Xenopus tropicalis: one gene and its partners. The protein of the gene in region 1 binds, or shares a complex with, the protein of each later gene. Links are inferred from orthologs where the notes say so. Each region holds a gene or a part of one and is shown on either strand. Other genes may lie near its edges.

Evidence for each region.
Region 2: ppp4c (region 1) and ppp4r1 share a complex: the UniProt entries of both Homo sapiens proteins name them as parts of the PP4 complex. The link is inferred for Xenopus tropicalis from reciprocal best matches to the Homo sapiens genes PPP4C and PPP4R1.
Region 3: ppp4c (region 1) and ppp4r3a share a complex: the UniProt entries of both Homo sapiens proteins name them as parts of the PP4 complex. The link is inferred for Xenopus tropicalis from reciprocal best matches to the Homo sapiens genes PPP4C and PPP4R3A.
Region 4: ppp4c (region 1) and ppp4r4 share a complex: the UniProt entries of both Homo sapiens proteins name them as parts of the PP4 complex. The link is inferred for Xenopus tropicalis from reciprocal best matches to the Homo sapiens genes PPP4C and PPP4R4.
Region 5: ppp4c (region 1) and ppp4r3b share a complex: the UniProt entries of both Homo sapiens proteins name them as parts of the PP4 complex. The link is inferred for Xenopus tropicalis from reciprocal best matches to the Homo sapiens genes PPP4C and PPP4R3B.

What each region holds. Positions count from the first base shown.
Region 1 is NC_030685.2:2,452,948-2,457,160, reverse strand, and holds the start of ppp4c (serine/threonine-protein phosphatase 4 catalytic subunit), read left to right. Parts: upstream 1-1,403; 5' UTR 1,404-1,470; exon of another isoform or gene 1,471-1,708; intron 1,709-3,482; 5' UTR 3,483-3,505; coding exon 3,506-3,603; intron 3,604-4,213. UniProt on the Homo sapiens protein: Protein phosphatase that is involved in many processes such as microtubule organization at centrosomes, maturation of spliceosomal snRNPs, apoptosis, DNA repair, tumor necrosis factor (TNF)-alpha signaling, activation of c-Jun N-terminal kinase MAPK8, regulation of histone acetylation, DNA damage checkpoint signaling, NF-kappa-B activation and cell migration.
Region 2 is NC_030682.2:104,631,157-104,635,103, forward strand, and holds the start of ppp4r1 (serine/threonine-protein phosphatase 4 regulatory subunit 1), read right to left. Parts: upstream 2,814-3,947; 5' UTR 2,562-2,813; coding exon 2,555-2,561; intron 1,218-2,554; coding exon 1,173-1,217; intron 1-1,172. UniProt on the Homo sapiens protein: Regulatory subunit of serine/threonine-protein phosphatase 4. May play a role in regulation of cell division in renal glomeruli. The PPP4C-PPP4R1 PP4 complex may play a role in dephosphorylation and regulation of HDAC3.
Region 3 is NC_030684.2:87,115,055-87,118,568, reverse strand, and holds part of ppp4r3a (serine/threonine-protein phosphatase 4 regulatory subunit 3A), read left to right. Parts: intron 1-636; coding exon 637-753; intron 754-1,216; coding exon 1,217-1,333; intron 1,334-3,514. UniProt on the Homo sapiens protein: Regulatory subunit of serine/threonine-protein phosphatase 4. May regulate the activity of PPP4C at centrosomal microtubule organizing centers.
Region 4 is NC_030684.2:88,192,234-88,196,457, forward strand, and holds the start of ppp4r4 (serine/threonine-protein phosphatase 4 regulatory subunit 4), read left to right. Parts: upstream 1-1,412; 5' UTR 1,413-2,099; coding exon 2,100-2,246; intron 2,247-3,631; coding exon 3,632-3,705; intron 3,706-4,224. UniProt on the Homo sapiens protein: Putative regulatory subunit of serine/threonine-protein phosphatase 4.
Region 5 is NC_030681.2:35,555,392-35,558,905, reverse strand, and holds part of ppp4r3b (serine/threonine-protein phosphatase 4 regulatory subunit 3), read right to left. Parts: coding exon 3,391-3,514; intron 2,825-3,390; coding exon 2,640-2,824; intron 1,263-2,639; coding exon 1,060-1,262; intron 1-1,059. UniProt on the Homo sapiens protein: Regulatory subunit of serine/threonine-protein phosphatase 4 (PP4). May regulate the activity of PPP4C at centrosomal microtubule organizing centers.

The DNA of each region.
Region 1 (4,213 bases):
TAGTTGCTAGGATGAGTGGGACCCTAGCAACCATACAGCACTTTCTAGTCAGATCAGCAAAATACATTTTAACAGCAGCTCAGGGGTTAATGCCCTGCCCTGCAGGACCCTCCTACACACTGGCATCTAACGCTGGCAGCCCCCACCCTTTCGACTCCTCACTAATTACTACTATTGCCCTTTCAGAGGGCGGGCAGACACAAATGCGGTTGAACGAGGCTGGCGGCTTCCAGGGTTGCCAGATTTATTTTTCCAACTAGCCAAAAGCCACTTTAAAAGTAGCCCAAAAATAGCCCAATATGCGCAATAAAGAAATTATATAATATAAAAATTATATAATCACTACCCAGTTACTGGGATGGCTGATATTGCATTAACCCCAGACACTATATACATATGGGTGCGTTAAACTACAACTCTCAGCAGCACCAGTAGAAAAGTAATAGTACAATCACATACCCTATAGAGCAGGGTGTAGGGCAGACAGGTTGAGCCTGAAACAGCAAAAAAGAATAGAAAACAGAGCCCCTGTCTATACTGTCCAATTGCATGCTGGGTATTGTAGTTTTATATTAATCGTAGCAGTAGGCTAATTGTTAGATACAAACTACATTACCCAGCATGCAGTGGAACAGGCACACTAGGGGGGAATAAAACTTTGGCTAGTTTCCAAATTACAAACCCACCAAGGCTCCACAAAATAGCCCAAATCTGTACCTTGGCGGGTTTGTACTCGTACTTGTAATTAGTAGCCCAAATCTTACGGCTTCTGACGCGAGGGCTGTCCATTCAGCAGGCTTCTGGTTGGAGGGTTCCCTACGTAAGAGGCTTCTGGTTGGGGGGATTTCCTCCAATCAGAAGTCTCTCGAATGGGAAGCTTCTCCCCCATGTCAGAAGCTCCCTGTTCAGAAACTTCTGATTGGAGGGCTCCCCATTCGAGAGGCTTCTGATTGGAGGGCTCCCCATTCGAGAGGCTTCTGATTGGAGGGCTGCCCAGGCGAGAGGTTTCTGATTGGAGGGCTCACTCGGCAGAGGCCTCCGGCAAAATTAACCGCTCTGCCGCCCTCCTATGATGTACACAGGAGTTAAATCTCACGAAATAATAAAAGACAACCACCATAAGCCTGGTGTAGACACCAAACACTCCTAGCTGTGGGTTAAGGGGGAGAGCGGCAACTGCTTTGCTACAAAAACATCACTCTTGTAACTCCCAGTCACGTGATACTGTCCGCTTTGTGTCCCGATCTGTGTTAATAAAGTTGCAGTTAAAAAAAAACTCCAAACAAAGGTATTTCCCGCCAGTCGCAATGGCTATTGGGCGGGACTGAGAGCGGTCGCGCAGGGGCTGCTGGGAGTTCGCAGACGCGCCATTGACGTCACACTCTCGCGGTGTTTGGCTCTCGCTGTGTGGAGAGGAGGAAGCGGGAGGCTCCGGGGGGAGAGACCCGCACACACCGCTCCCCGGATCCGGTAAGGCGGCCTGTGTACCGGAAGCCCGTGTGTGTGTGTGTATCCGTGTGTGGGGCTGAGCCGCCGGGACCCGGATGTGCGCTCTCGGCTTCTAACTGCCCGGAACTGGGGGTGGGGGATCGGCACCGAGCTGTGTGTGAGTCCCCCGTCCGATGTGAGAGGGAACCTGGGGGGGGATACGTCTCTCCCCCATACTCCCATATTAATCCTTGTGTGTCACTGAGGGGCATTACTGCGAGTAGGTACCCCAGGGGTACGGGCCCCATTATGGGCGGGGGTGGGTCGCTATATGGACCCCATTATAGGTAGTGGGGTTCAGTTTAAGCAACTTGTTATGCCTGGGGGTGGGGCCTGTATAAGAACCCCCATTGGGCCCGGGGGGTGGGGTCTGTCTAAGGACCCCCATTGGGCCCGGGGGGTGGGGTCTGTCTAAGGACCCCCATTGGGCCCGGGGGGGTGGGCTCTGTAGAAGGACCCCCATTGGGCCCGGGGGGGTGGGCTCTGTCTAAGGACCCCCATTGGGCCCGGGGGGTGGGCTCTGTCTAAGGACCCCCATTGGGCCCGGGGGGGTGGGGTCTGTCTAAGGACCCCCATTGGGCCCGGGGGGGTGGGGTCTGTCTAAGGACCCCCATTGGGCCCGGGGGGGTGGGGTCTGTCTAAGGACCCCCATTGGGCCCGGGGGGTGGGGTCTGTCTAAGGACCCCCATTGGGCCCGGGGGGTGGGGTCTGTCTAAGGACCCCCATTGGGCCCGGGGGGGTGGGCTCTGTCTAAGGACCCCATTGGGCCGGGGGGTGGGCTCTGTCTAAGGACCCCCATTGGGCCCGGGGGGGTGGGGTCTGTCTAAGGACCCCCATTGGGCCCGGGGGGGTGGGGTCTGTCTAAGGACCCCATTGGGCCCGGGGGGGTGGGGTCTGTCTAAGGACCCCCATTGGGCCCGGGGGGTGGGGTCTGTCTAAGGACCCCCATTGGGCCCGGGGGGTGGGGTCTGTCTAAGGACCCCCATTGGGGCCCGGGGGTGGGGTCTGTCTAAGGACCCCCATTGGGCCCGGGGGGTGGGGTCTGTCTAAGGACCCCCATTGGGCCCGGGGGGTGGGGTCTGTCTAAGGACCCCCATTGGGCCCGGGGGGTGGGGTCTGTCTAAGGACCCCCATTGGGCCGGGGGGTGGGCTCTGTCTAAGGACCCCCATTGGGCCGGGGGGGTGGGGTCTGTCTAAGGACCCCCATTGGGCCCGGGGGGTGGGGTCTGTCTAAGGACCCCCATTGGGCCCGGGGGGGTGGGGTCTGTCTAAGGACCCCCATTGGGCCCGGGGGGGTGGGGTCTGTCTAAGGACCCCCATTGGGCCCGGGGGGTGGGGTCTGTCTAAGGACCCCCATTGGGCCCGGGGGGTGGGGTCTGTCTAAGGACCCCCATTGGGCCCGGGGGGTGGGGTCTGTCTAAGGACCCCCATTGGGCCCGGGGGGTGGGGTCTGTCTAAGGACCCCCATTGGGCCCGGGGGGGTGGGGTCTGTCTAAGGACCCCCATTGGGCCTGGAGTGTTGGTATTCATATTCACATACAGGGTGTATAAATACACTAGTTGGGGGGGGGGGATAAATACTTTTATGTAACTGAGGTGAGGATTTGGGTCTAAAGGCTGGGGCATTAGTGGCAGTAAGTACCCAGGTGTAGGGGGCGGGTAAGTATAATGACCCCATTATGGCTAGGGGCAAATATAAGGACCCTAGTGTGGGGGTATGTTATAGCTTGTGGGGCTCTGTAGAAGGACCCCATTATGCCAGGGGGTGGGCTCTGTAGAAGGACCCCATTATGCCAGGGGGTGGGCTCTGTAGAAGGACCCCATTATGCCAGGGGGTGGGCTCTGTAGAAGGACCCCATTATGCCTGGGGGTGGGCTCTGTAGAAGGACCCCATTATGCCTGGGGGTGGGGTCTGAGAGATTAGGGGGGTTTTGAGTTTTGCTATAAGCCCCCTTTTTTGTTCAGTAAGTAAAATTGCCGGTTTTTCCCTTTAGTGAAGCTTCATTGAGGAGGGACCATGACTGAAATCAGTGACCTCGACCGGCAGATCGAGCAGCTGAGGCGCTGTGAGCTCATCAAGGAGAGCGAAGTGAAAGCTCTTTGTGCCAAAGCGCGGTGAGTCTTCTGCAGAGCCACCTTATGGGCCGGCTGGGTCTGCCTGGGGGGGGTCACCTTTAGGGTGTTATAGAGCAGCCACTTCTAAGCAACATTTTAATCTTCATTATTAATTTGTCATAGTTCTTGAATTATTTATTAGTTTTTATATGAGGGTCACTGACCCCAGTAGCAAAAAAAACTATTGCTCTGTGAGGCTCCAGTTTTATTGTTACTTTTTGTAACTTTTCTATTCAGGCCCTCCTCCTATTCATATACCAGTCTCTCATCCAAACCACTCTCTGGTTGTTAAGGTAACTTGGACCCTAGCAACCAAACTGAAACTCCATACTGGAGAGCTGCTGAACTGAAAATTAAATAACTTAAAAAAATTTTTTTAATTGTCTCAGAATATCACTATATATATCCAAAAAAGACCAGCAACACCGAGTTATATTCCAAAAACAATCAATTGTGTATTAAAAACGCATGAACAGCCACCGTTACGTTTCGGTCCCCATCGGGACCTTTCTCAAGGCAACCATGCTAACCAAACCCATGTTCTATTTATCCATAGTGAACCAGCAAATAGGAAGTGACACACAGTGCACATATGCCATAAAGTGACATG
Region 2 (3,947 bases), on another chromosome or scaffold:
TTATATTTAGTTAATGAGTCCTGTGACACAAGTGATATCACTATGCACAGTTAATATAAAATCAAGGTTATTCATGGCTCTTGTGCTTTATACAGTGCTAAGCCAGATACAAAAGCGTTTTTTACTTCTTTGAGGCAAATCACCTTTGGATCACCTATAAGCGCAATATGAATAAGGTGACCAGTACGTGAATGTGATAAAAATAACCTCAGTAGTTAATTTACTCACTAAATCAACTTGACATCCTTCACACATCTAATTAAACACAAATTGGCACACTAGCACAGTTCCATGTACAATACAAAATGCAGCAATGTTTTTCTAAACCCATAGAAATAAATACACCATTAAAGCAAAAATATACTGCACTCCAGTTCTCCTCATAACCAACAGTTCCATGTTTTCATGATATGCACGTCTCACCTTGTGCAAACCAATAACTAGTAGAATTGATCAATCAAAACAATGTGCAGGTGTACAACCCACTGATCCATCAAAAGGTATTGTGTAAATGTTTAACCTGCAGCATATCCTTAAAAACTAGAATTATAACAAATTGAAAAAATTTACATGCACAAGCTTCATTTAACAGTCTCGCTGAAGTTTTCCATGGCCTGAGCAATTAATAAATTAACCAGCTTATATAGTACACAGTACTATAGTTGAAAACAGCTTTTAGTCTAATGAACCTGTTTAACTGCTAGCTCATCCAGAGGAAGGCCAAAAAAAAAATAAAATAAACGTTTTTCCAGTTTGCCTAAAAAATTATTTCCTGATTCCAAAGATCCTGAATTCCTGAACTATCCATTCAACACTCTGTAGAGTGTTAAGGGAATAAAAACAGCTCAATGCCCTAACTGTGGCTGTGTCTCTATTAGCAAAACTTTCCTTAAAACTTACCCATACTTTACCTATTATTGCACTGCTACAAAACTGCAATGTATCAGCAGTTATTACTGTTGAAAAATTGCAGCTCCTAAAATTAATAAGCACTATGGCTATGTCACGTGCTTGACATAAGAGTGAATGATTTACATGCTTGGTTAAATCTGAATGCATAAATGTAAACCAGATGGTTTAAGCCCCATATACAGTAAAGTGTTTGTTTTAACCAGGTTTCAGTTTTTTTTTTCCCCTACAATTTTTTACGTAAAAAACAAAATGTGACTTACATCCATCTATTTCCTCCTGCACATCCTCCTGGAACAGTGACAGATCTGAAAAGATTCAGAGTAAAATATAAGTGTGAAGAACAAACAGCCAGTAATCCTTGTCAGAGTCTGCAGTACCTGAAACACTTATACCCTCCTAGGAAGTGATCCCCAACCAGTGCTTCGTGAGCAACATGTTGCTCCCCAACCCCTTGGATGTTGCTCCCCAACCCCTTGGATGTTGCTCCCAGGGGCCTCAACTTAGGTACCCATTTTTGAATTTCTGGCTTAGGGGTGAGTTTTGGTTGCATAAAAACCAGTGTAAAGCCAAACAGAGCCTTCTATAGGCTACCAGTCCACATAGGGGCTACCAAATAGCCAATTGTAGCTCTTATTTGCACCCCCAGGAACTTTTTCCATGCTTGTGTTGCTCCCCAACACTTTTTCCATTTGAATGTGGCTCACGAGTATAAAAGGTTGGGGATCCCTGCTCCTAGGTGTATGTTACATAAACAATGTATGAACATTTCACAATAATTTTAGCTTACAATTCAGCATAGAAAGGTAACTATCACTGGATCTTACCAGTAACTAGATTTAATGTTTACATTTTAAAATTTGGTGTGCACACACACAAAATCTGCTGAATAAAATCATAAATTACTGTAACCTACATCCTGACATACGCATAAGGTACCACTACAGATTTCTGTTTGATTTTGGAGGGAAAGGAAGAAAATGTATAAATAGAACAAATTAGTACATTCATTGCTTCTCTAACTTTTTGCTGTAAAGCAGGCTCATCAATCCTGCAGCCCTTCAGCAGCTAAGGTAAATCAGAATAAAACTATAACTCCCAAATGCTGAGAGATGTTATGCTGCACCCTCTCACATTACTCTTAACACACAAAACATTTGACTAGACAAACCAACCTCAGTCTGAAATACCTGCAACTTAAATATACACGTTAGTAGAATTAGGTCTAAAACAAGTCTTAAATATGCACACACACACACAGGGCTGGAGTTGAGAGACTCGGGGCCCCATTTATAGAGTAAAATAACTATCATGATGTGCAAAAATAGCAACCCCAAAGTTGTTGTTGTAGTGTAGTACAATAGCCCAAGCCCCCCACACCAACATTAATGTGAGGGGGCTGCATGTAATTCATCCCTGACGTACATATTGAAACTAACTTGCAATTCCTGCACGGTATCACGTGTTATTGCCACTTGTGTTTACTTTTCCCCTGTTAATGCACTTCCTGTGGTTTGAGGCCCAGAATGAATTCCCTCACTGCCCTACACCGAATCCGAGCCTGCACCTACTCACACTCCCAGCACCCGCTTGTAGATGCACCCACTTTGTGGCAAAACAACCCACACTGAGCCCTGTCTCTCACCCGCCATCTTGTGCCTGGGGCCGCGCCGCTACATGGAGTCTCCAGCCAGTGCAGCGCCCACCTTGCCAGCGTGGGCTGGGTCGGAGTGCGAGGGCTGCCCGACACTGCACAATATCTCGGGCTTGTTGCAGCTTTCAGGCGGCTCCCCCCGGATCACACATCACATATTTCAGTCGAACACAGCGCGCCACCTCTTCCTGTGTGCAGAAGCCTCACTCCCTCTCTCACTCCCTCTCTCACTCACACACACTGGGAACATCCTCTTCCCGGCACTAACCTTGTGACACGCAGCGCCTCCTCTTCCTGTCCCTGCCTTATGTGCCTCGGTGGTACCTTACATAGCCATACGGGCAGCAACTCCTCTCCCAATGTCGGACTTTACTGCTCTGCCTCATGCTACCTCCGTGTGTCTCAGTGGAATACTGTTCATTAATCGACATTTAATAGTGCTAAATGAGTGTAGGGCTGGGTTTAGCCTGTAATAGAGAGAACATCATGTGGCCCCTATATTCGTTTGGGTCAAGTAGGTACTATATGTTTGTGGCAGTGTACAGAATCGTAGCTGGCTGCCGTACGTAACTTACGTGATGTCTCCATAAGTGGGAGCTTGAAACCTCACGTATTTGGAGGGGCCGCTATGGAAATGCTGACGTGTCTGCGCGTTAAAGCAGCACAAGGGAACACTAGTTGTACCTCGTTAGGTATCTAATAGGCACCAAGTACAATACACAATACTGTATATCGATATATTCCAAAAATACAGATGCATAAAGGAAAAGGCCTCCCAAGAGAGAAGATACTTATTTGTGGTCCTAGATATTCTAGTAAGGCAACTTCGGATGAATAATTATTTGTTAACTGGTGTCATTTATAGATCTATGGCTAAAGATCTCATACAAGGATGCTTATATGTGTGTAAAACGTGAAAAGTAACTCTTTGTATGCCAAATGTGGCTCTAAAAAGCGTATGTCACTTTCTTTGGTTCCAAGACTGGTAGAGGTGAACAATGGACATTTCTCACACTACACTACCCTCTTAGGGCTCTGGCACACGGGAAGAATAGTTGCCCGCAACAAATCTCCCTGTTCGCGGGCAACTAATCTCCCCGAAATGCCATCCCACCGGCGCAAATGTAAATCGCGGCGCGGACGTTGACTTGAGAGGAAACTTCCACGATTTCAGGGAAATCACGGTGCCACGTATGCCATCCCACCGGTGATTTACATTTTCGCTGGTGGGATGGCATTTCGGGGAGATTAATTGCCCGCGAACAGGGAGATTTTGGCCTCAGATCAAATGCACAGATAATTGCAGTCCACAGATATTGGGAGTTTTCACCTGCCCCAATTGATATTTGAACATGGGCCAGCTCTCCTATGTGTAGAAGTCCTA
Region 3 (3,514 bases), on another chromosome or scaffold:
AATCAAGAAACACATCTTGTACAATTCAACTGTTCAGAAGGCACTGAGAAATATTAAATGTATTACTAAGGCCCGTGAAGCACTGTCATTTGCCTAGCAGCATATTTCTGTTGGTAGAGAAGTACCTGTTTCCACTTAGGCGTTTTAATGCTGGATCATTTATTTGCTGTGCTGTCTTAATTATATTTATGTATATTATCTCAGTAACATATTATTTCTAATTTTTCTCCGCTCCTTGAGTGTTCTGGGCATGACTGGTGAAAGGTGGTTGCTATTCATTTCAATCAGAAAAAAATTGTTTATAGCTTTAATAGTTTGCTTATGCTTGTGTAGAGATGAGTTCTTAAACAAGCATAGTATTCAAGGCTATGGTGATATTAATATCTACAGTTAGTATTAGTAGTTGTGTGTATGTATGTGTATATATATATATATATATATATATATATATATATATATATATATATATATATAGTTTATGTATGTGAGTGTATAGATTGGTAAGTATAGGTTGTGTGTGCTGGGTTAACTTATAAGGGTTGAACATGAAGGACTCTGGTCTTTTTTCAACCATATGTAACTATGTAAGAAAATGAACCAGAATTTATTTTGAAATGTTTTTTACCTTAATTTCAGGTTAACTTTCTAAAGGAATTCTGTGCATTCTCTCAGACGCTACAACCCCAAAATAGAGATGCTTTCTTTAAGACTTTGTCAAACATGGGTATCCTTCCGGCCTTAGAAGTAATTTTAGTAAGTAGCAATCCTTTTTGTTCAGATTACAAACTTTCTTATCTGTTCAGTGAAACCTCTGTCACAAGTTTGACAACTTCATAGATTTTGTGAAAATAATGTGTAACTTATGTTGTACACGGTTGCATGCTGCATTTATACTTTTTTTACCTTATATTTACTCTGTAAAACTCTCTAGCTTCTGTAACACTTGAAAGGTAATCATTTGAGCTGTAGCACTGGTGTTTTACCTTCCTCATTCTAAACTTTTAAATTATATGAATGTTAATGCATAGTTATCAAACTTTAATTTAGGTAGATTTTTTCTATTATTTTGAGTGATTTATTGGCTAACCTGTTTTAGTCCACATATCTTTTGTAAAGATATTCAGCATATAAAGTTTCAATATGGAAATGCTAGGCAGTTTCTGCTAGTCTGATTAATACAGCAATGTAAGATGGGTCCTGTTGTTTAACCAAATAGGGCATGGATGATCCACAGGTTCGAAGTGCTGCCACCGACATTTTCTCCTACTTGGTAGAATATAATCCATCTATGGTGCGAGAGTTTGTAATGCAAGAGGCACAGCAGAACGATGATGTAAGTATCCAACTTCATCAGTAAAGTAATTACTTGCAGAAATGTGGTAATATAGCTGCAAGCCTAATATAAATGTTTTTAGCTAATCAAGAAGAAAGCTGTTAAGTTTTTTTTTAAATTATATTATTTGATATTGTATTATTATTAGGTTGGTATTAGGGTATTATTAAAGTCTTTTGGCAGTGGACAAGGAAGATTTCTCCATTGTTTTTCTCATAAAATGTCAAAGCTGTAACGACCTCAAAACCTCGTGTGATGAAGGCAACGCCCCAAATGTACACACCGGTTTAACACAGTGGTGGCTAAAAACCTGTTGAGCTTTTAGTTTGTCAAAAGCCTACTTGCAAAAGTAAAAAAAACAAGTGAAACAAATCAATTGCTGAAAACTCCAGTGAGTTCAGGAAGTTGCAATCGATTACCAGAATGGTCGAAGCTTAGTAAATCTGTCCCTTTAAATAGTGTCTTTTTCCAAGCCATGATCTCAGTTTTATGTTTTAATTAGGTGTTTATTACAAAAACATTTATTTGTAACAAGATCATACTCAATGCACTCTTTCTCTAATTTTTTTCTTTGTATTTTTTCCTATTCCACCAAACCAGTTCTTAGTAGTTCTGTTATTTTGTTGCATTTTAAAGCATTATGTAGGGTTGCCTACCATTCTTTTGAGTTGTTTGTACTTAAGTTTGTATAGCTTAGTGTTCCCCAACCAGTGGTTCGTGAGCAACATGTTGCTCACCAACCCCTTGGATGTTGTACCCTGTGTCCTCAAAGCAGGTGTGCATTTTTGAATTTCTGGTAAGGAGACAAGTTTTGGTTGCATAAAAACCAAGTATAATGCCAAACAGAGCCTTCTGTAGGCTGCTATAGCTCTTATTGGCACCCCCAGGAACTTTTTCATGCTTGTGTTGCTCCCCAACACTTTTTCCATTTAAATGTGGCTCACAGGTATGAAAGGTTGGATCCCTGGTCTAGCTGCACTGCAGCTGTGCTTTAGTAACCCAAGAAGTATCTGCGTTTTCAAGCTTTACTTAGCTTGATACATTCACTAAATGTATGATTCATAGTTAAGGTGGCCATACATTTACAAATTAAATGGTACAAAATATTTTTTTGGGCTAAACGATCAAATCAGCCTGATATTGCCCACCTCAAGGTGACCTTGCTAAAAAAAAAAAAAAGCATATATTTCAGTATATCGCCAGCTTGAAGGAATAGAAACACAAATATTTTACATTAAAAATATTCTTGCAGCTCCAACTCCCTCTTTTTGTACAAGCTCAGCCAGTAAATGCAGGTTCGCAGACTTAAGGTGGCCATACGTGGGCTGATTTTAGCTGCCACTATCTACCTTTAGCCCAATTCAGCACCATATCTGGCTGTGTATGGGCACAATGGGCCTCCCCTACCAACATCTGGCCAGGTTTCAACAGACAGGTTTTATTTTTCTGTTGCCAACAGCACCTATATCCATCATTTTAATTGAATTGTCTGGCCCTAGGGCCAAATGATGAATTGGCCCAATATCGCCAGGCGAGCAGATCTTACCGTGTATGGGCAATTTTTGAAGAGAAGCCCTCTGTCCCCATCCCCTTCCCTGAACTGGCACAAAAATACTCACAAGCTAACTTTGAACACTCTAAGGAATGCATTAAACTAACTTCTGGTTCAAATCGGAAGTCAAGCAATAGCCACATCACATTTACTTTGCCCTATACATGAATTGTATATTGTAACATGAATGTTATTATATTAAAAGCCACTTGCAGTGTTGCAATTTCTGTATGATATATATGTTAATAAAAAAATTGTATTTGGTTGCAGCACAGAGCAACAACTTGGAGCTAAAGCTTTTTTTTTCGCAAGTATTTTATACAAAGTTCACCAACAATTTATTATTTTCATATAAATGTCAAGTGGCCTTTCAAAGTGGGCCCCCACATATATTAAAGAAAGTAAATAAGCACCTAACCCGTAATCTCACACCCGAAAAAGGAACATTGGTAGTAAAACTTCTTGGGTTGCAGATAACATGCTGCTCTGGATAATAGAAAACTGAAATTCTCTGAGTAAAAGTTAGAAAAAAAAAAAAGCCTGATCCTGATTACCAGTGTTGTGCCACTGTAATGCCTTGAATCTCAGATCACAGGCAATACTTGTGAGGCAGGGTGGTTAGGATATGT
Region 4 (4,224 bases), on another chromosome or scaffold:
GTGTTATAGTGCCAGGGCCTGAATATCTGCCATCAGTACCCACTGTGTTTCACTGTATATAATGTGCTGGGTTTGTAAATACGGACTGCGTCTCACTGTATATAATGGGGAGTCAGTACCCACTGCCTTTCTTGCTATAAAACTAACATAAACACATCTAAAGGGGTGGTTCACTTTTAAGTTAACCTTTAGTATGTTATAAAATGGCCTATTCCTAGCAACTTTGCAATTGGTCTTCCTAATTAATTTTTTTGAATAATTTGCCTTTCTCTTCTGCCTCTATACAGATTTCAAATGGGGGCCAAAAATATTGCTCTGTGAGGCTACAATTTTATTATTATTATAATTTTGTATTACTTATTTTTCCAAGTAGGCCCCTTAACTATTCATATTCCCATCTCTTGTTTAAACCACTACCTGGTTGCTAGGGTAAATAAGACCCTAGCAACCAGATAGCTGCTGAAATACCAAATGGAGAGCTGCTGAACAAAAAGCTAAATAACTGAAAAACCATTAAAAATAAAAGTGAATTCGAATGCGAACTAGCCCTTTAAGCTAACTGATCACAAACACAAATGTTTGCAGATCCCCTAACAGAAGTGCACTTATAAATACTTTTACATACTAAACATTTTAGGGTAAAAAAAAAAAGCACCCCCACCCGCACTTTTGTACAGTACCCCTGGGAGTCAGTGGGAACGGCAAGAGGTAGTTGGGAGGTTAACTTTTTACGCCAGCAGCGAATCCACTAAGTGTCACATTAGCTGTAGGTCAGTCTGTGTATGGGCCATCTTTAGCCTCCCCTAGTATCATCCTGCAAAAAAAAAATATATATATATTTATATATATATTTGTCTGTTGCAGGATGATGCTAGCTTACTTGCCCCCGCCCCGTTGGAAAATTTTCTGCGGACGCCCATGACTAGAAGTTCCTCTAGCAGTAAATGACTTTGCCCAGGGCCCTTTAGCATTATAGGGCACCCTTTGGGGAAAAGTAAACTACATTACAAGAGACATATCATTTTGTGTAAATATTTTCATTATTTCCATCAGGGTTGTAGGAAATCTGGCTGTCCTACTACTTAAAACAGATGTCTGATTGGAGGATTCTAGCTGGTTAAACGACTTTGGGCCATTGGTTTCCAAGACTATTTACACAGGGAGAGAAGCAGCTGTTGATTTGCGACTTTTCTTGTTTTTATCGCCACGTTCATACAATATAAAGAAGTTGCCAGGGTTTGTGAGCGTACTCATGTGACCTTGTTACCCTCGCCAAGTAAAATAACGAGTGAGTGGTGACAGGGAAAGGCCAAAGGGGCACGAAGTGTAGTGGAACCATTTGGGTTTCCCGTCCCTTCAGGTGGGAGGGGGAAAGGCGCTCACTATACTGACGTCACAGCGAGGAAGTTTGCGCCGCGGGGTTCGCTGTAGCGGCGCGTTGCTATGGGAACGGGAAGCACCATAGCACGCGTTGCTCTCTGGCCTCTCTGATCCGCTTATACTGATCCTCCCCCAAACCCCTCTCTCGCCTGCTGTCCCTGCAGCCGCGCTGCCAAACGCTACATACGCCGTGTCGCTGCTGAGGGGATCCCATGTCCCTGGCACTGGGTGAAAGCGGCAGCCCACGGATCCCACGCAAAAGAGGAGGCGAAGGCGTCTGCCCACGCATGACAGCTCCAATGAATGCTTCTGGCAGCGTGTGAATGTTGCAGCCTACGGGACTCGCGTAGGACTGGCATAGCTGTGGGCAGCCCACGCATGGCGCTCTTGTAAAGTCAATGTCGTTGCGGTGGCTGAAGCACAGCGAGCATCAGAGAAGCAGGTGTTAGCCTGGCACCCAAGGGCATCACTCCCGGGATTAGGGATCCGGCAGCAGGCTGCTAACCACTCCTTACTCCCTACACTGCACCAATACTAGGTGTGTCAGCAGTGGGGCCAGCTGAGCCCTTGCCAGTTACCCCCGATGGCATCGCGCTGCTGCTGCTGATTTCCCCTCGCACCTCCTTCTCTATTCCCCCCGCCTCCGCCCCTCATTCCCCTGCTCGGATCTTCTTCGGGCGCTGCCATGTGAAGCTCTCTCTTGGCTTCTTTGCCTACTCATGTTTTGCCCAGTTAGACTCGCAGATTCTCCCATGCATCCCACCGGCTTCTTTAGGATGGATTTCAGCCAGGGCAGCTTGTTTGGCTACATAGAGGACTTGGAGGGACTGACGATCATCGAGAGACCGGTCCGCAGAAGCCTCAAGGTATCATTTGGACAGGATGGCGCAGGGTAGAACAGACCGGTTGGGGTGCTGGATCCAGTCATTATATCCAGATCCATTTCAAATTAGCACGCAGTTAGGCTGGTTAGTAATTCAGCTGAACACACCATGGGCGTCGATAGTAGTGTACATCTTGTACCTAAACTGATTATCAGCCATAGAAGATTTGTATTTATTTGTTTTATACAAGGGTAAATATATCTGTAGTTATTATTAGAAACGACCATTCGATTCCAGGGCAGCAAACACAATTTAGTTCTTACTCTTAACCGCCTTTGTACTGTACTTTCTGTCCTGCTTCAGTCACACTTTGAAAAGGATGATCTGGTACTAACACTTCACAGTCATAGTTGATCTACTGCTGCTAGAATCTGTAATAGCAACCTGAGAGTCCAATATAGTTGTAGTTCAACAACTCTTGCTCTGTGTTCCACCTATTTGTGATGGTGATTGAAGGTTGCATACATGAGTTTCCCACCACAAATCCCAGAGTCAGGGTTTGTTAAAAGACATTTGAGGGCAACTGGTGGCCTATCATGTGGAACACTAGAAACCACCCCAGCAGCAGTATATAAGCTTGCTTGCTCTTTGTGTGACACTTTTTTCCATTTACATTCTTTTATTTCAAAATGTCCAGTTTCCTCCCAGTCCCACCCTCTAAAAACACACAGACTCATCATCATCAACCCCAGCTTGTATTATTTGTGTGACTGTGATAGGCATTATAAACTGCACTATGGCAGGGACTGATGTCAGTGATGATCAATCCTTGTAGTGCTGCAGAATATATCCAAGCTAAAGCAGGGCTGTGGAGTTGGTACAAAAATTCTTCGACCCTCACTCTAATAATTCCTTAGTTTGTGGTACCTCCGACTCCAACTATAATTCCAGATACCCAAAATTGCTTCCAACTCCTCAGCCCTGTTCTAAAAAAAAATGAGGATAATCATTAATGTCACTAGTCACTTTCAGAGCTAAAAACAGCAGTGACACAATGCATTTCATTGGTCAAGGACAGACTTCCTTATGGGCCACAGTACCTTTATTTTAATTTTTCCTTTGGAAATATTGTGGATTTTTCTTGTTTTATTTTCTCTAGTGTATGCTTTATATGAAGTTCTAACTCAGCATGAATTTTCATTCTTGCACAACTGCCCACTAAATTATACAGGAATGGCTGTGGTAGGAGAAAGCACATAAGTATGATCATAGTCATCTGATCAAAAGAAACCATGACTCAAGGCCATCTTAGGCTTTACCATGCCCTAACCAAAGTTAATCTGGACCTTTTGTTTACTGTATAGTGGCCCATAAGGATATACAAATAACAGATCATTCTGAAAATATGTTTTATATTTTTTTTTCAGACGCCTGAAGAAATTGAAAGGTTAACAGTTGATGAAGAACTAAATGACATTGAAAGGGCTGTATTCCTTCTCAGGTATATTCCACTGTAAAATATTTCAACTTGGAAAATATAATTTTTAAGTAGCCTTTGAAATCTGTTGTCCAACATTATTTAAGTTATTGTATCAAGGAAAAAAAATTGGTTTTTGCTCGTTTTTATCAGACGATAGCTTAGTTTCTTTGGGGAAATGTCTAAAAAGTATATGTATATCCAGCTAATTAGTTAACTGGGAAGGTAGTATAGCCCATAATGGTCAGTTTGTCCTTGTGTCTGCACACCACTGTTTTTTTCATCTACATATATGTACCCATATTTTTCTTCTAGGTAGTATTAATGGTACATGGGGCTGGGAAACAATTAGAACAATGATAGACAGAATGGGTCATTTTGTCAATGGCTGTTTCCACTAGATTTTCACCATACTCTCACCTATCTTAGTCAAGTTATTTTTTTTTCTTCAAGAACAACATTATCAGATGTTTTTCTAAATAAAAATACATTATGTTCAATAATATAGCCTATATTCCTTTAATTTGCTCTTAAAGGTATATG
Region 5 (3,514 bases), on another chromosome or scaffold:
AACCTTTTTATATTACTGTACAAGGATTTTTCTAGCTCCTTTTAGGTTAAACTGCTCTTCTTGCCAGTCAAGCACATCTTTACCAGAGGGCAGTTTGTCCCCTGGCCCAGGCAATGGATCGCAATTGGTTCCTTGAGGGAATAAGCAAGAGCTGATGGTATTTACACACTGAAAACGTTCCTCCAGAAAATGGCCACTCATTTATTTTATCTGCCCACAATAAATCTTTACTACTGCAGGTGACTAATCTCCCCAAAATACCTTCCTACCAGCAAGAATGCTTATTGCCGGTGGGATGGCATATGTGCTGCTTTAGTTTTCTGAAGCTGCCCAAAGTTGCCTCAAGAGGAAACTCCGGCCTACTTCAGGAAACCGAAGTGACACTAATGCCATCCCACCAAGTGAAAATTGTGGCAGAATAATATGGACCACAGTAATAACAAAGATACTGCACATAAAAGATGTAAAAAGGTAAAAGTACAGCTAAAAATACAGGTGTGATATGGTTTCTCTTTAATGTCACATACCCCACAGACTGTAATATATATTTATATTTAAGTGTGAATTATTAGTTCCCTGTATTTCTACATAAGCTCCAATGCCAGATGGAGGCACAAAATGCTGTTCTCTAATTCTCTCCATATAAATGCTTGAACAAGAAAAGTTTCTACCCACCAAGTTTAACTTTAAATTCTGAGAATTTGCAATATTGAGACTAATTAAAAAAAAAAAAAAAAAAAAAGTGCTAAGAATAGTACATTCTGTAAAATACTAAATTAACTAAAAGGTGATCTACTCACTTTTACCAGTAGGATAGTTATGCCATTAACATGCTAGCATAGTTAACAAAGTACAAGGGCTGTCTTACGGCCTACTAAAGAGAAAAAGGGAGATATCACTTCTGAGTAGCGGAGCTTTCTGGAAAAAATGTTTTTGAAAGAATAGATTTCATTCAATATAGAAAATCCACAGTTATCGGTGCTGAAAAAGATTGGTGCATTCAAGACCATAAGAGTCAGAATTAACTTTGTCGCTGCCACATACAAAGAATGGACTCACCTTAGCAGATGCCACTGTGGTTGTCAAGCTTGTATTTTTGGAGGAAGATCCATTAGAACTTGCTGGTGGTGTGTGAGCTGCCACAGACTTGCTGTTTGTACTGTTTGCCCCATTAGCTGCACTAACTGAGTGAGAGAAAGTGAATTTAAACCCTCCAACAGATGTCCTCTTTGGAAGATTCTCTTTATCTTCAAGCTCTTTCGCTAAAAAACAAAACAAAACCCAAAGCATTAATATTAATAACAGATTAATAAAATCAGTTTTTGAGGCAAAAAATATTTTGCCTCTAAATGGATGTAATATAAAGAAAAAAATATATAGAGATTCAAGGGATTCGGTCATGATTTATGTGGTGTAGTTTTTACTTCTAAATTACACTGTGCACATTGCAAATAATTCACTCTACTATGTACTACTGAACCAATAAATGTTTTTTTAATTGTAATATTGGTGTGTATGGAGCCATCTCAGATCACTGTGGATGATCCTGTGCTTTCAGAAAGAGTCAGCGCGTCACAAAGGAACTGCTTTTTAGATTGGCTCCAATGGAAAGACTTGAGTTTTACTACTGAGTGGTATTCTCATATCTACCACAAGGGAAGGGGGAGCAGTAATCCTGTTACTTTTCTGTGATTTTGCAGATTTTCCCAGGGAAAGGGAGGGGGGAATCATTCCAACTTGCAGTGCAACAGTAAAAAGTGACTGGAGTTTATCAGAGCATAATTTACATGGCTGAGAGCACTTGGGAAATAAAACACGTCTAGCCCCACATCAAATTTCAAGACAATTTCAAGTGTAAAAAATAGCTTGCTCTTTTAAAAACAAAAGGAATTTCACTGCAGGATTCTGCTGGAGGAGCACTATTAACTTACGCATTTTATAAACAAAATTGCTGGCAAAATCTTCCCCCCCATAAGGCCACCTTGAGGTGGATGATATCAGGTTGATCCGATGGCCAAACAATCATCTCATAATTGCAGGCCATCATATCAATGACCACACCAACGTGCTGATCTTGGCCTCAATCTGAGTGGAAAATTAAACCTACCTATCTAAACCTTTTCTCTTGGCAATTTTTGCCTATAGATCAGTCGGGTAGGCCTCTAAACAGGCCAGTAAATTGCTGACTTCGTCCGCTGGCAGCTTCTACCGGCCTGTGTATGGCCACCTTAAGATAATACATATTCATGCCCCAAAGGTTTCCCAAATTTTATCAGCTTTAGGAAATTGAGTTCTGGGGTTAGAACTGCTGCACTACTTATAAAAATTAATTAGCGGTCAGTAACTCTTCTGCTGGTCATATTATAGAAGTCAACAGTGAGGCACAGAACAAGGAAAACCTGTAGGAGTTGAATCTACAGTGTTGTCACTATGGTAATTTAATATTGACACCGTACATTCTACAGTGAGCAATTCTAAAAAATTAAACACCTGTTGGCAGATATATTTAACAGCTACTACAGTTCAGTTGCTTTTATAATAAGGACAGTGTAAATGCTAAAATGTTTGCGCTTCACTTGTACACAACCACGGACTGTGCGGATTTGCTGTATTTCCTTGTTAAAGGGCAAAACCAATACCTTTTTTAGTTTCCAGAAATTTTTCATAACCTTCAGGAAAGTCATCCTCTGTTTTAGTTTTTTCAACAGGAGGTACAACTGCTTCCCCTTCCTCTTCCTCATCTTCATTAAACCACAACTCTTCATCATCCTCCAGTGCTCTCGCATCTCTACGAAACCGGTTACTACGCAATATAGATGGTACGCTAAGAAAACAGAAGGTAAAAATTATAACTTGCCTCTTTTTAAATACCAAGCTGAAATATGTACAAAAGCTTTCATTCCGTCACTCTGTACCATCATTGATGCAAGCATCCTTTACATTGACGTTACCCTAACGGTAAACCTTTTAAAGGCACATGACAAAACACCTACAAATACCCTTCCATAGGATATGCCGGTAATTTCTGACCCTGCAGGTGCAATATTATTGTAAAACGTTTTTTTTTTTTTGTAAACAAATACCTGATTCACATTTGCAATGTTAGGGTCGGTGCAAATACCTGCACAGCCTATGGAAAGGTATTGCAGATATTTTGCTGCCCACACACGAGAGAGTAAAAGCATGAGGGGCACACAAGCAAATGCCTGCACTGCTAAACTAAGCTGTAGTTCTCCTTTAACAGACCTTGTGTGTGCAAGATATCAACAGAGGTGAACTTTGCCAGGCCCCAGCTCAACCTGCACCAGGTTTACCCACTTATCTCTCACTTTTTTCCCCCCAACATATAATGGAACCCTAGAAAGACCAATCCAAATTATTAATCATTACCTGCTTAACTTCTGACTTTGACGATCCTTTTCTTGTTCATATCTCGTTTTCAATCCTTTAAATGTTTGAACATATTCAATGGATTCAAGTGCTTTGTAAAAATTTTCTACAATGTGTGATGTTA